Oryzias latipes: one gene and its partners. The protein of the gene in region 2 purifies or fractionates together with the protein of the main gene of each other region. This does not show direct contact. Links are inferred from orthologs where the notes say so. Each region holds a gene or a part of one and is shown on either strand. Other genes may lie near its edges.

What was found. Proteins that work in one complex are often made in the same cells at the same time.
Region 1: the proteins of hdac2 (region 2) and cdyl purify together in Homo sapiens (affinity purification with mass spectrometry; 6 studies listed by BioGRID and IntAct, with this or other methods). This does not show direct contact. The link is inferred for Oryzias latipes from reciprocal best matches to the Homo sapiens genes HDAC2 and CDYL.
Region 3: the proteins of hdac2 (region 2) and brms1 purify together in Homo sapiens (co-immunoprecipitation; 4 studies listed by BioGRID and IntAct, with this or other methods). This does not show direct contact. The link is inferred for Oryzias latipes from reciprocal best matches to the Homo sapiens genes HDAC2 and BRMS1.

What each region holds. Positions count from the first base shown.
Region 1 is NC_019875.2:12,883,789-12,887,994, forward strand, and holds the start of cdyl (chromodomain Y-like protein), read left to right. Parts: upstream 1-1,383; 5' UTR 1,384-1,679; coding exon 1,680-1,703; intron 1,704-1,873; coding exon 1,874-2,558; intron 2,559-3,059; exon of another isoform or gene 3,060-3,123; intron 3,124-4,206.
Region 2 is NC_019882.2:21,620,929-21,623,716, reverse strand, and holds the end of hdac2 (histone deacetylase 2), read right to left. Parts: coding exon 2,689-2,788; intron 2,619-2,688; coding exon 2,478-2,618; intron 2,119-2,477; coding exon 2,010-2,118; intron 1,405-2,009; coding exon 1,274-1,404; intron 1,183-1,273; coding exon 1,027-1,182; intron 950-1,026; coding exon 892-949; intron 782-891; coding exon 751-781; 3' UTR 503-750; downstream 1-502. UniProt on the Homo sapiens protein: Histone deacetylase that catalyzes the deacetylation of lysine residues on the N-terminal part of the core histones (H2A, H2B, H3 and H4).
Region 3 is NC_019876.2:12,603,371-12,607,505, forward strand, and holds the start of brms1 (breast cancer metastasis-suppressor 1), read right to left. Parts: upstream 2,824-4,135; 5' UTR 2,692-2,823; intron 913-2,691; exon of another isoform or gene 802-912; intron 722-801; 5' UTR 716-721; coding exon 490-715; intron 409-489; coding exon 318-408; intron 213-317; coding exon 85-212; intron 1-84. UniProt on the Homo sapiens protein: Transcriptional repressor. Down-regulates transcription activation by NF-kappa-B by promoting the deacetylation of RELA at 'Lys-310'. Promotes HDAC1 binding to promoter regions.

The DNA of each region.
Region 1 (4,206 bases), on a different chromosome or scaffold from region 2:
AGTATCAAGAATTCTTAAAAATGTAAAACTGTTTATTTATAACCCTTGTGCTAGCTTATGGGGTCAAGATGACAATTGCCGTGTTCTCCCTGCCATGACAAAGGTGGATAAAGGTGGAAAGATTTCATGTAATCCATGGACACCAGTGAAGATCACAAATCATTGAAGAAAAAAGGTTCAGCGCACTGTGTAGTGGGTCTAGATGACCCAACTCCCAACATTAAAGTGCCTAGGATAGCACAAGGGTTAAGTGTACTTTGGTAGGCTGTTATCCTTTTCTTTACTTACTATCCTATTGGTGTTAACCTGAATTTGATTTCATTGGTTTATATTATGATCCAATAGAAAATTGTATACATAGAAAAGGAACATTTAAATATTTTTAGCAACTCCCCTCTGGACAGCTACTAAACATCATTGTGCAGCACAAGTTAAAAGATGCTTTAAATTCATGAAATAAATATGGTAATGAAAGATCATACTTTTTATTTGTAATGAAAGTGTTACTTTGTAGGTACATTCTGGTATTCTGGAGGAATGATAGAGCAAACCAGTCCTCTAGTGCAATGTCAACAGTGCTAAACATTCACACAGTTTATCTTACTATTCTAGGTACGCCTCAGCACAATAACATAACCTCAACAAACTTAAATTGAATTAATGCTAATTAGCCATATGCTTCTCATTTCTATAATTATTTTTTTCTTCAGCTAGAGAGCCACAATGGAGGGTAAAGAGCCAACCTTCAACTCTGGGGTCTCAGGTTGCAGACCTGGTTTAGTCTGTATATGTTTTGTCACAGTGTTTACTGGTAAAGACACCTCATCATGAACATGAACAATGAAATCGGTCAGATACAATTTTTTATGGGTGAAATATTTTTAAAAACTGAACACACTTTTAGCAAAAAGTAGTCTTTAAGGTGTGCTACACAAATACTAAAGGTGAGGCAGTATTCTTTAAGTATACTTTTCATATTGTACACGTAAAATGTTCCAATTTAGTCTGAAGAAGTATTTAGTCAGTACACTTCATACACTATGCATACTAGGTCTATAGTATACTTGACACAGTATACTTACGTATACTTAATCCAATCAACTTTGAGTGGACTACTTTTTGATAAGGGAAAGGATACTACTGTAAGTCATGTAATTTCAGCTGATTATTAAAGATAACTACATTTAATTATAGTTAACTCTAAACTAGACTCAAGCAATTCTTTTTAGAGCTGTTTAAAATTAAAGAATTGACAACTTAAGAGAGTAAAATTTGAATTTTCTTAAGTCCATCAACTACCAAAAACAACAACACATAATTCAAAAATAACTCCAAATGACTCCAAAACTGCCAAAAACCTTCCCGCAAATGTCATAAATAAAAATAAAGCACTAAACAGCAAGAAGTTTATTTGAAAATATGTAATTTTGCCTTATTTTCTCCGTTGGAATCAACGGGAATTTGTTCCTTTTATCTGACACGAGACTTTTATTTTGGAGAGCGGAAAAGGCGTAATTTCACACAAGCTAACAGCTAACGGCAACGTCACGGGAGACCGAAGCGGAGCAGCCGGTAAACGGACGTACGCGGCTGCACGCGCACAGACTTTCAGACTTTCTTCATGTTGCTGCTGACGTAAAGAAGCTTCTGGAAGCTTTACGTGCACGAGCACGCTCTACATGGCCACGCAGGAGCTGTACGAGGTGACAAAAGCTAATGCTAATGCTAACCGTGAAGTTTAGGATGGTTGGCAGGTTTTTAAAGTTTATGCTGTGACGTCAGTATGCTAGGAGTAAAAAAAAACAACCCCTCTGATCGTTACTAGCTGACGTCACCGAACAACTCCTCCATGACGTTGACGTGTGTCCCACAGGTGGAGAGGATCCTGGACAGGAGAAGGAGCAGGAAGGGGAAGGTTGAGTACTTGGTCAGGTGGAGGGGCTATGGTGCAGAGAGTGACACCTGGGAGCCTGAGAGTCACCTGTCCACCTGTGTGAGTTACGTTCAAGAGTTCAATCGCCAGTATGCTGAGCGACAGAGGGAGGGGGCGTTGATGCGCTCCACCCGCAGCCTCGCCCATCGACCACAGTGTGGCCCGCCACCCAGTTCCCCTGCATCTGCTGACCTTAGCAGCGAGGTCAGCAGGGCCTGTGTCCAGGTGAGGACGCCCCTCAGTCCCACTCACCTGTCCTGCTCCGCCCCCTTAACCTCACCTGACAGGTTTACCCCCTGCGCCATCTCTGCCCCTCTGGGGGGCTTTGCACGCCGAGGGGTGGACCTTTCCAAGACGGGCATCAAGATCCTGGTTCCAAAGAGTCCGATGAACTGCCGCCCCGACTCAGAGGAGTCCCCCAGCGAGGCGGCGCACAGCTTGGAGGCGGGCACTCAGGAGGCTCACCTGGTTCCGCCAGAGGTCGCCCTGCTGGAGAAACCTGTAGTGCAGCTTGGCCCTGGGGAGGAAAGGGCTCGCATTGGAACCAGGCCCCGGACCCAGAATCCCCTCTCCCCGCCCCGGGCCCCCATCACACCTGCGGCTGTTCGCTCCCTCAGCAGCTCAGGTGAGTCATGTGGCAGTCACGTGGAGCTCACACCCACGGTTTTTCGAGCCGGAACTTGACCATATGAGAATTTTATTTAGAAACCCATTCCAGAGAGACTACTGAGATGAAAGTGGTGTTTTAAACATGTTGTTGTGGTATTTTTATGATGATGGAGAACAGGCTTTAGGAAATGAAACTTAAAATGATATTTCTTAATATTTCCTCAATCACACTGTTGTTAATCAGGAGACAAACAAGCTGTTTGAAAATGCCTGTGCCAGTGATACAAGTGTTACAATCAGCGAGCCACAAGCTTCCTGCTGTTCTCCGTTCTGATGCTTCCACGTGTAGACAAATAGATCCATCTTTGTCTTTGTTTTCCTCGTCTGAGCTGGCATCTGGCTCAAAACTGTACGGCTGATTATCCTCAATATTGCTCGCCATTTTGGTTGCAGCGGTCTGTAAGCTTTTGGGAGAGCGTGTAAACAAAGGGATGATGGGAAGTGAGGAAAGACTTACTCTGTGCGAACAGTCTTGCCCCCAACTCCCAGGTGACTTTCTAATCAACTCCTGCCGCTCTGCCCTAAAAAAAAGACATGGGTTTATTGGCTTTGGGTAAAACGGCATAATCCTCATAAAAAGACCACTAGGAACAATTTTACAAAAGATAATTGGAGTGGGACTTTAACAGGTCATTTACAACTCATTAACTAATAGTTTTTTTAAGAATTTGTTAACTAGCTAGAATGGATAGGAGTGGAACTTTACCTTTCATCCATGAAACCCCACATCTGATTTTGGCAACATTTTTAAACAAGCTTTGGTGGATATTTACAGTCTAACTTTTTCTTTATTAAAGACATAAAAGTCAGATCATCTCACAGGTAAGTTAACAAAAAACAAAAAAAACTTGTTTGCAAGAATCAACGAAAGCCCAGTTTTCTTTTATTCCTATCAATATTATTAGTGTTGGGTCCATCAAGTAGTTGAATGCATGCTAGGTCTTGGTTCTGGCGAAAGCCCGGCAAATTCACATGAGGCAGTTGAGGTGGTGAGATTCACGTCCCAAAGGTTTTAACTCGACTAAAACTTATTTAAGCTCTCGAGTCCTCAGAAAGACATTCTGAGGTTGGGAGCCGTGGATTTTCTTTTTCCCAGGTTTACACCAAAAATATCAACGTTTTGTGTATTTTACTTGGTTTGTTCTTTGGAAAACACACTGATCTATTTTGAAAGCGTTCCCAGTGGTCTTCTAACAATGATAGTGGAGTTTAAGCCAAAAAAAAAAAACAGTCATTTTCTTGGACATGGTTTCTGCAGAGTGGTCAGTAGATCATTAGAAAATTACCTCTGAGTTTTTAGGTGGGACCATTAACCCTCCACCATCCCTATCTGTTGTGGAAAAGAGTGGAGCAGGAAGCTTGTGGCTCTGGCTCAGCGTATTTTCTACGTCACAAATGAGCTCTTTTTCAAACACATTGTTCCAACCATCAGATTGATTTCATTTAATGCCCATTTGAGGCCATAAAAGTGGACCCAAGGCATACCACATAAGCTTCTTGGGTTCAGACGAAGGAAGTTCTCCGCTATCTAAGTTGAAATATCCAGGAAACAGGTGCCATGTCACCTGGAGAGATGGTCATAGATCCACATGAAGCTTAGTGTC
Region 2 (2,788 bases):
CCTATTTGATTTTGTTCCCACCGTCATCCTATCCAGGTGTGACACGTTAACCTGTGCGGCGGGAGCTGAGTGAAGTCAATGTTGCCTCATTCTCATCTTTCCTGTCCCAAACCAGCACAGAACCCACCCGCCTGTCCTCTCTGCCCACATGTCAGAGCACATCCATGATCTTTACAGCATGTCAGCCTGTTTTTAAAGCCCAGAATCATTCAGGTGGGGTCGTTTTAAGTTGAATCTGGATTTCTTAAAACATTTTGTCGACAGACTACTCCTCTGGAGAATAAAACTTCTATGTGGGTCAAATGTTTAACCACTTTTTGAACAAAATTCGAAACTAAAAGTTAAAAAAGCCACAAGTAGTTCTGGATTTCATGCTGACCAAATGATTCCTGTATGTGATTCTACCTCAGAATGTAATAATTATGGAAATCAAAAACTCTTGGTGACCTCTAGTGTCTGAACAGTTTTACTACACAAATCCCCCAAAAGAATCTGCTCAGGAAACAGTATAAAAAGTTTTATTAACAAAGGCAAATTATCAAAAATTAACAACTTCTATTGGAGTTTCACCTGCAGAGTTTTGCTAAAAACAAAAAGAGCTCAAGTTTCCTTCAGAAGATCAAGCACATTGGAAACACATGGTTCTGGAAAAAATGCAAAGTGGTTGTTGGAAGGGACTTGGAGTCCAACCATGGAGTCTCAATAAATAAAATGCCTCTCCGTGACGAGCTGCACGGCGGAGAACCGGGTTCAGGCGCTGCTGCTCTGCTCCGTCTTCACACTGCAGAGGAAGGTGACAGGTGGATGTGAGGGTGGAGTCCGAACAGGAAGCTCAAACAACGTGAGACCATCACAGGATGGAGTCCTCCACAGGAGCTGCTGACACTTCACCTTTTGGAATCCGTTTTCTCTGAGTTGCTGTCCTTCGTCTTCTCCTCTTCCTTTACATCTATGGATGGAAGTAGAAACGTCAGACGCTTCAGATTCCATCCAGCTTCTTTCCTTCCCATCTGCCCCGTTACCAACCAGCTTTCTTCTCCTCTCCCTCCTTCTTTTCCTCCTCCAGGCGGGGCCGCTTGCCTCCCTTCTTGTGGCTGGCCACGTTCCTCCGGCCTCCCTCCCCTTCGTCCTCTGAATCGGAGAACTCCTCCTCGCAGACTATCCTCTTATCCGTGGCCCGAACTGTGGACACACAGCAACACGCTGATGCAGCAGCGGGGACGTGGGCGATCACGGGAGGTTTGTGGAGGGCGGGAAGTGCGAGCAGTCTTACTAGACAGGCGTTTGTCGGGATCCTCCTTGTCCTCGTCCAGCGGATCGTCTGGGACGGCGTCCTCTGGGATGGCCTGCATCTGAACTCCTGGAGCGTGAGGAAGCATCCGCAGGTTCTCGAACAGGCGCTGCCTGAACACACACACGGGCCGTCAGTCTGACTCCCAAGAGGCGTTTAAACAACTACTTCATCACACAAAGACAAACCGTTTGGTTTCAGTTCAACTGAAAAACGGCTAAATGAGATGGCCGCTCAACCCGGTGCCAAGGATTACTAGATCGTCTGAGTGCTGCTGTAGACTGGTAGTGAAATCAGACAATCAGGAGCCGTTTGCTTGTAAAAAGAATAAAAAATAGTCACAGCAGGACAACTGAAGCTGATGAGAGCCTCGACTCCGTTATCCAAATGATTTTCACTCTGCCATTTTAAAAATACAAGTAAGGGCCTGAACACTTTGATGTCAGAGCAGTCACCAACAAGTGCAAAAGAACAAACGTTCTTACCACGTTATCATAACTCTACAACTGTTTATGCAATGAGTGTAACTCCAGAGCAGCTTTGTGCCACAATGCAACACTTCACGTTAGCAAAGCCACTGTTGTCCGGGTCAGAACCAGCTGGTTTACATTGATCGTGCAAACACTTCACCATCGTGTTGCATATCAGTGCTGCTTTTCTGGTTATTTCATCAATACCGACACAGAAGCAAAGGCCCGGTAATTCCAGACAAACGTACTTGATCTTATCCAGGTACTCCTGTGTGTTCTGGTTGGTCATGTTGGAGGGGCTGATGTGCAGCTTGAAGTCGGGTCCAAAGTACTCAAAGTAGTCGTTGTAAGGCAGTTCTGAAGGAGTCAAAGAAAGAGTCAGATGCAGGAGATCTCTGCATGGAAAGCAGACAAACTGATGCTTCCAGCAGCTGCACAGAATGAGGAGCTCAGAGGCCCAAAAGCATCATGGGAAAAGACTGTTGTGTTAACTGAAGTCAAAATACAATCTGAATTATAGCTACCAGCTTTAAACGTTTTGGTTCTATTGTTGATTCGTCCGCAGAAGCACCTGCAACAAAAGCAGCTGTCCTCTGGGAACAACGCTCCTTCGTTTTACACGGAACGTTTGCACCCCCTGCTGGTTCACATGCGTACCTGCATGAATGCATGCAGGTCACAGCAGCTGAAGCTCTCTGACACAACAAGAGACCAACCGTCTGGGATTTCCGTGTCCAGAGCCACAGCAGTCTCGTAAGTCCAGCAGCGCGCCACATTGCGAATGGTATATCCTCCTCCCCCCAGCATGAGCAACGGGAGGTTGAAGGACTTGATGTACTCCACGCATTTGGCATGACCTGCAACAACAACGCGTTAGGGCCGTCCTGCCGGTGTCACTCATGCAGGTAGCGTGGGGCTGCGTTGTACCGCGGATGGTGAGGTTGAAGCATCCGAGGCGGTCTCCTGACAGGGAGTCTGAACCGCACTGCAGAACCACAGCACTGGGCTGGTACATCTCCATCACCTT
Region 3 (4,135 bases), on a different chromosome or scaffold from region 2:
ATTGACGTGCATTTACGCCTGAATGTGCGTTACTGAGGCGGGGTGAACGTAGCTGCAGAAGGGAGGAGGGTTTTTTTCTTTTACCGGCGACTTGCGTCCGTATCTGCATGCTGTTCTGCAGAGCCGTCAGCGGCTCCCGGTACTCTCCAGCCTTTCCTGTCAGCACCTCATCCAGCTTCACCTTCACCTGGTTCAGCCGCTCCCGGAACAGCCTGCAAGCACAGAGGCCCTTTAGTCGAGGTTTTCCTGACCAGTGATGTTCACATAGCAGACCACATCCCATAATACCCCCCCCCCAGTGCCAAGTTTGGAGTTACTTCTCCTTCAGCTCCTGAAACTGTTTCTCCAGATCCATCATTTCATCGAGACACTCTCCTCTCCTCCGCTCACAGTCTTCATCGTCCATCTCTTCACAAAAGGACACATAAAGGAAATTTATTCTCTCTGCATTTTTGAATCACTTCTATAAAAAACCTTTTTTGTTTTTACCTGAACTCTCCTCTTCCTCCTCCTCCTCCTCCTCCTCTTCTTCAGTCTCATCCAGGTCGCTGTCCCTCTCCTCCATGCTTTCCTCCATGGGCTCGTCTCCTCCCCCTCCTGCTCTCGTTTCATTCCGCTTTGGCTCCTCCGTGTCGCCGTTGGCCGTAGGGAGTTGGGACTCTCCTTCTGCCCCCATCTTCTCCTCTGGCTCCCTCACAGGGGGTTGGGCCGGCATGGCGAGCTGGAAACAACAACGACAAGCTCAACGACAAAAGCTTTCAGTCACAAAATCCACATGTCCCTGATGGTCCACAGACCTACCTGAGTGTTACTGAAAAAGGTTTTAGTCTGTCATCTTAATGGTTCATGCGATTTAGAAAATCACAAAGAAAACCAATGAATCCATTTAAAAGAATTGATATACATTTATTTGCATTTCACTGAGGGAAATTAGTATTTGATCCTTTAGTAAGAATTAAGAGTTCTGGTTCACACAGACTCTCCTAATCCTGTCACCTGAATTGAAGACACCTGTTTGAACCAATCCCCTGTAGAAAAGACACCTGTCCACAGAATCATTCAGACTCCAAACTCTCCAACATGAGAGACTAAAGAGCTTTCACTGGATTATTTGGAGAAGATTCTAGATCTGTTGACCCCAAGAGCACCATCCCCACTGTCGAGCGTGGAGGAGGAAGTTAAATCTGATCATACAGCCAAGTCAATCATGGAAATGGCTGCAGAGGAAGCAGATCAAAGCCATGGAGTGGCCCTGGACCTCAGTCCTATAGAAAATCTATGGGGAATGCTGAAGCTTAGGGTTGCTAAGCGACAGCCATTAAGGCTTGATGATTTAGAAGTCATTTGCAAAGAAGAGTGGACCAAGATTCTTCCTGATATGTGCAGAAACCTGATAATCAACTATGTCTGACTTCTGTGCTGCTAATAAGGCTTTTCCAATAAAGTACTACGTCTTCCCAGCAAGACAGTTAAAATAATAGTTTCCCTCAATGAAACGCAAATAAATTCACAAATACTTTAAAATCGATTTCTCGCTTTTCTATCTTTCACTGTTCAAATGAACATAGTGTTCAGATGACAATTTCTTTTGAATGCAAACCAACAAAATCAGCAAGAGATCAAACACTTCCTACACTGTATGTCAGAAATGCATTTATAACATCTGGCAAAACAAATGCTTTTAAATCAAAGCCATATATTTTTTAAAGTATTCTTGTGATGATGTTTGTAAGATATGCGGCATTTGTGTTTTTACTGATGGGATGACCTCGTTTATTTGATAACATTAGGAGTTTTAAAGATTCTTAAAGATGTCCAAACAGTTTTTGGTCTAACAGATTCACGTTACATTATTATACACGTTCTACAGGTGAATTCATTAAATTACAACTACATTTATTCAGTATGTAATGTGGTTAAGTCAAACCTTGACGATGACTTAGCTTTAATAAAGCTACAATAACAAGGGTCAAAACCGGAAATCGATTAGCTAAAAACAAATGCTAAATAAACAATAATTATTTTACATTGCATAACATGGCAAAATGTGTAATAAGCGTGTGGTAAAAACTGAAAATAATTTTTTTCTAAACGTCTAAAGGCCTAAAAAGGTTCAATAATGTTGAAAATTGCCATTTAGGTTTTTATTCAAACCGGAAGTCCGCTTTCACAGTGCTTAACTTGACCAAAACTGGCTTCCGTATGGAGGTAGAGTAAACTGGTAAACAAAATGAAAGCAACGGCGGGATTTAAAGCCTACACTAAAGTCAGGAAAAGAGACGCTCGTTTTGAAGGCTGCACTCACTTAAAAACCCTGTAATGTTTATTTCGCATTTCGGCCGCACTTTCACCACATTGAGCTCAAACACACCTCCGTGAAGTCAAGTGCAACACAAGCTAACAATTGAATCAAAAACGGAGACGGCAGTCACTGCGCACGCATCACATTTACACACGAAGGAACCGCCTTTCTCATGGAAATCTTCTTGAAACGTTTTTATTAATTAAAGATGGAAATTAGCACTCCAGAGAATCATAGGAGCATCTTGCAGACCGACCTGCCAACCGAACTACACGGATTAACTCGAAGAACGCACTCCCTGAGTCCGAGCGGACAGGGGGATGCTATCCGCTACTAACAAACATAAATCATCTTTATTACTGTTAAGTCAGACGTGAAAGCCATCTTACCGTGTCCCTTAGCCGAGCTATGCAGAAGAAACGTTCGGTTTAATGATATATTTCCATTTTGGAAAGTACTTCCTCTTCGATCGGCTCCTCTTCAGTTAGACACTTTGCCGGACTCTGTGAACTGTAAAATCAACCAATCAGCGTCGAGGGCTGCTCCTGACTATCCAATAGGAAGAACCATCCCGCAAGCACCCTGTCCAATCAGAATGAAGACACAGCTTCTATGAACCAATTGTAATTTAGATATACATCTCCAACATATAATTTAAATATAATATAATTAAGTAGAATGAAAAATTGTTGTTTAAACACAACACTACAAGAAAAAAATACAATTTCTGATTATGTTTACGTCACATGAAACGCAAAATGTAAAATGAAATTGAGCATAAAATAATTTTGCTCAACCTCATGCATATACAGCAAAATTTTTTTTGATACGTGTAATAATAAACGGAAGAGCAAAAATATTGACATTAAAAGAAAATGATCCACAAATCGTCAGTTTTACATATTTTTTATTAAAGTTGCATAAAAGTAACAAAATTGGGCAAAAACAAGACCTGTTGTTGATATTGCTACATGTGTTTGTTGGTTTGCCTAATTTTTAAAAACTGTACACTCCCCTAACACGTCTAATCTGCATGGTTTAGCTCTTGTATTTAACCTCAATGGTAAAATCGTTTTTTTTCTTTCCCAAACAGTAAAAAAAAAACCAGACTTGTCAATAACAGTCTAAGAAGACATAATAATAATCCAAAACTTGAACTTTAAAAATGAAAATCCACTGAAATTCAGCTGCTGACTGAACTTGCCTGGTGCAATTTTACTGATCGAAAAAGGGAAGAAAAGTAAAAACTAAAAAACAGCAGTCGATCTATCTGGAAACATCATTGAGAAGGCAAAAACAATCACATCTGAATGGATTTTTCTTCAGCTAACAAATCAGTCCAAGGCTTGGCGTTGAGAAGGGTCGCGATCACAATTTATAAACAGACCAGCATTCAAACACATGGTTTATCTGAACAGCATCACTGCATCAAGGCCTACGGCAAATATGAAACACACCTAAAAAATATTGGTTTAAAAAAAAAAACAGAATCTCAAAAAAGGAAAATCCAAGATTCTCCCACAAGATGTAGCTCCACCTGGTAGCACATCTAAAGAAAAAAGCAAAGATGTCTCCTGTTTATTTGGTTTGTGTAACATAAATAATACCTAAGGCAACATCTGTTTGAAAACAGGAAACTCAAGAGCGATGAGGGAGCAGGACAGGAGGATGCATGGAAGAAGGTAGGAGGGGATGGCAAGGAGACGGTGCAGCAGGATAAAGTGGGCCCCCAGTGTGTGTGTGTGTTTGTGTGTGTGTGTGTGTGTGTGTGTGTCTGCTGTAAAAGAGGCAGTGAAGCTCAGACATCCCTGCAAGTGTTCGCAGTCGCTCAAA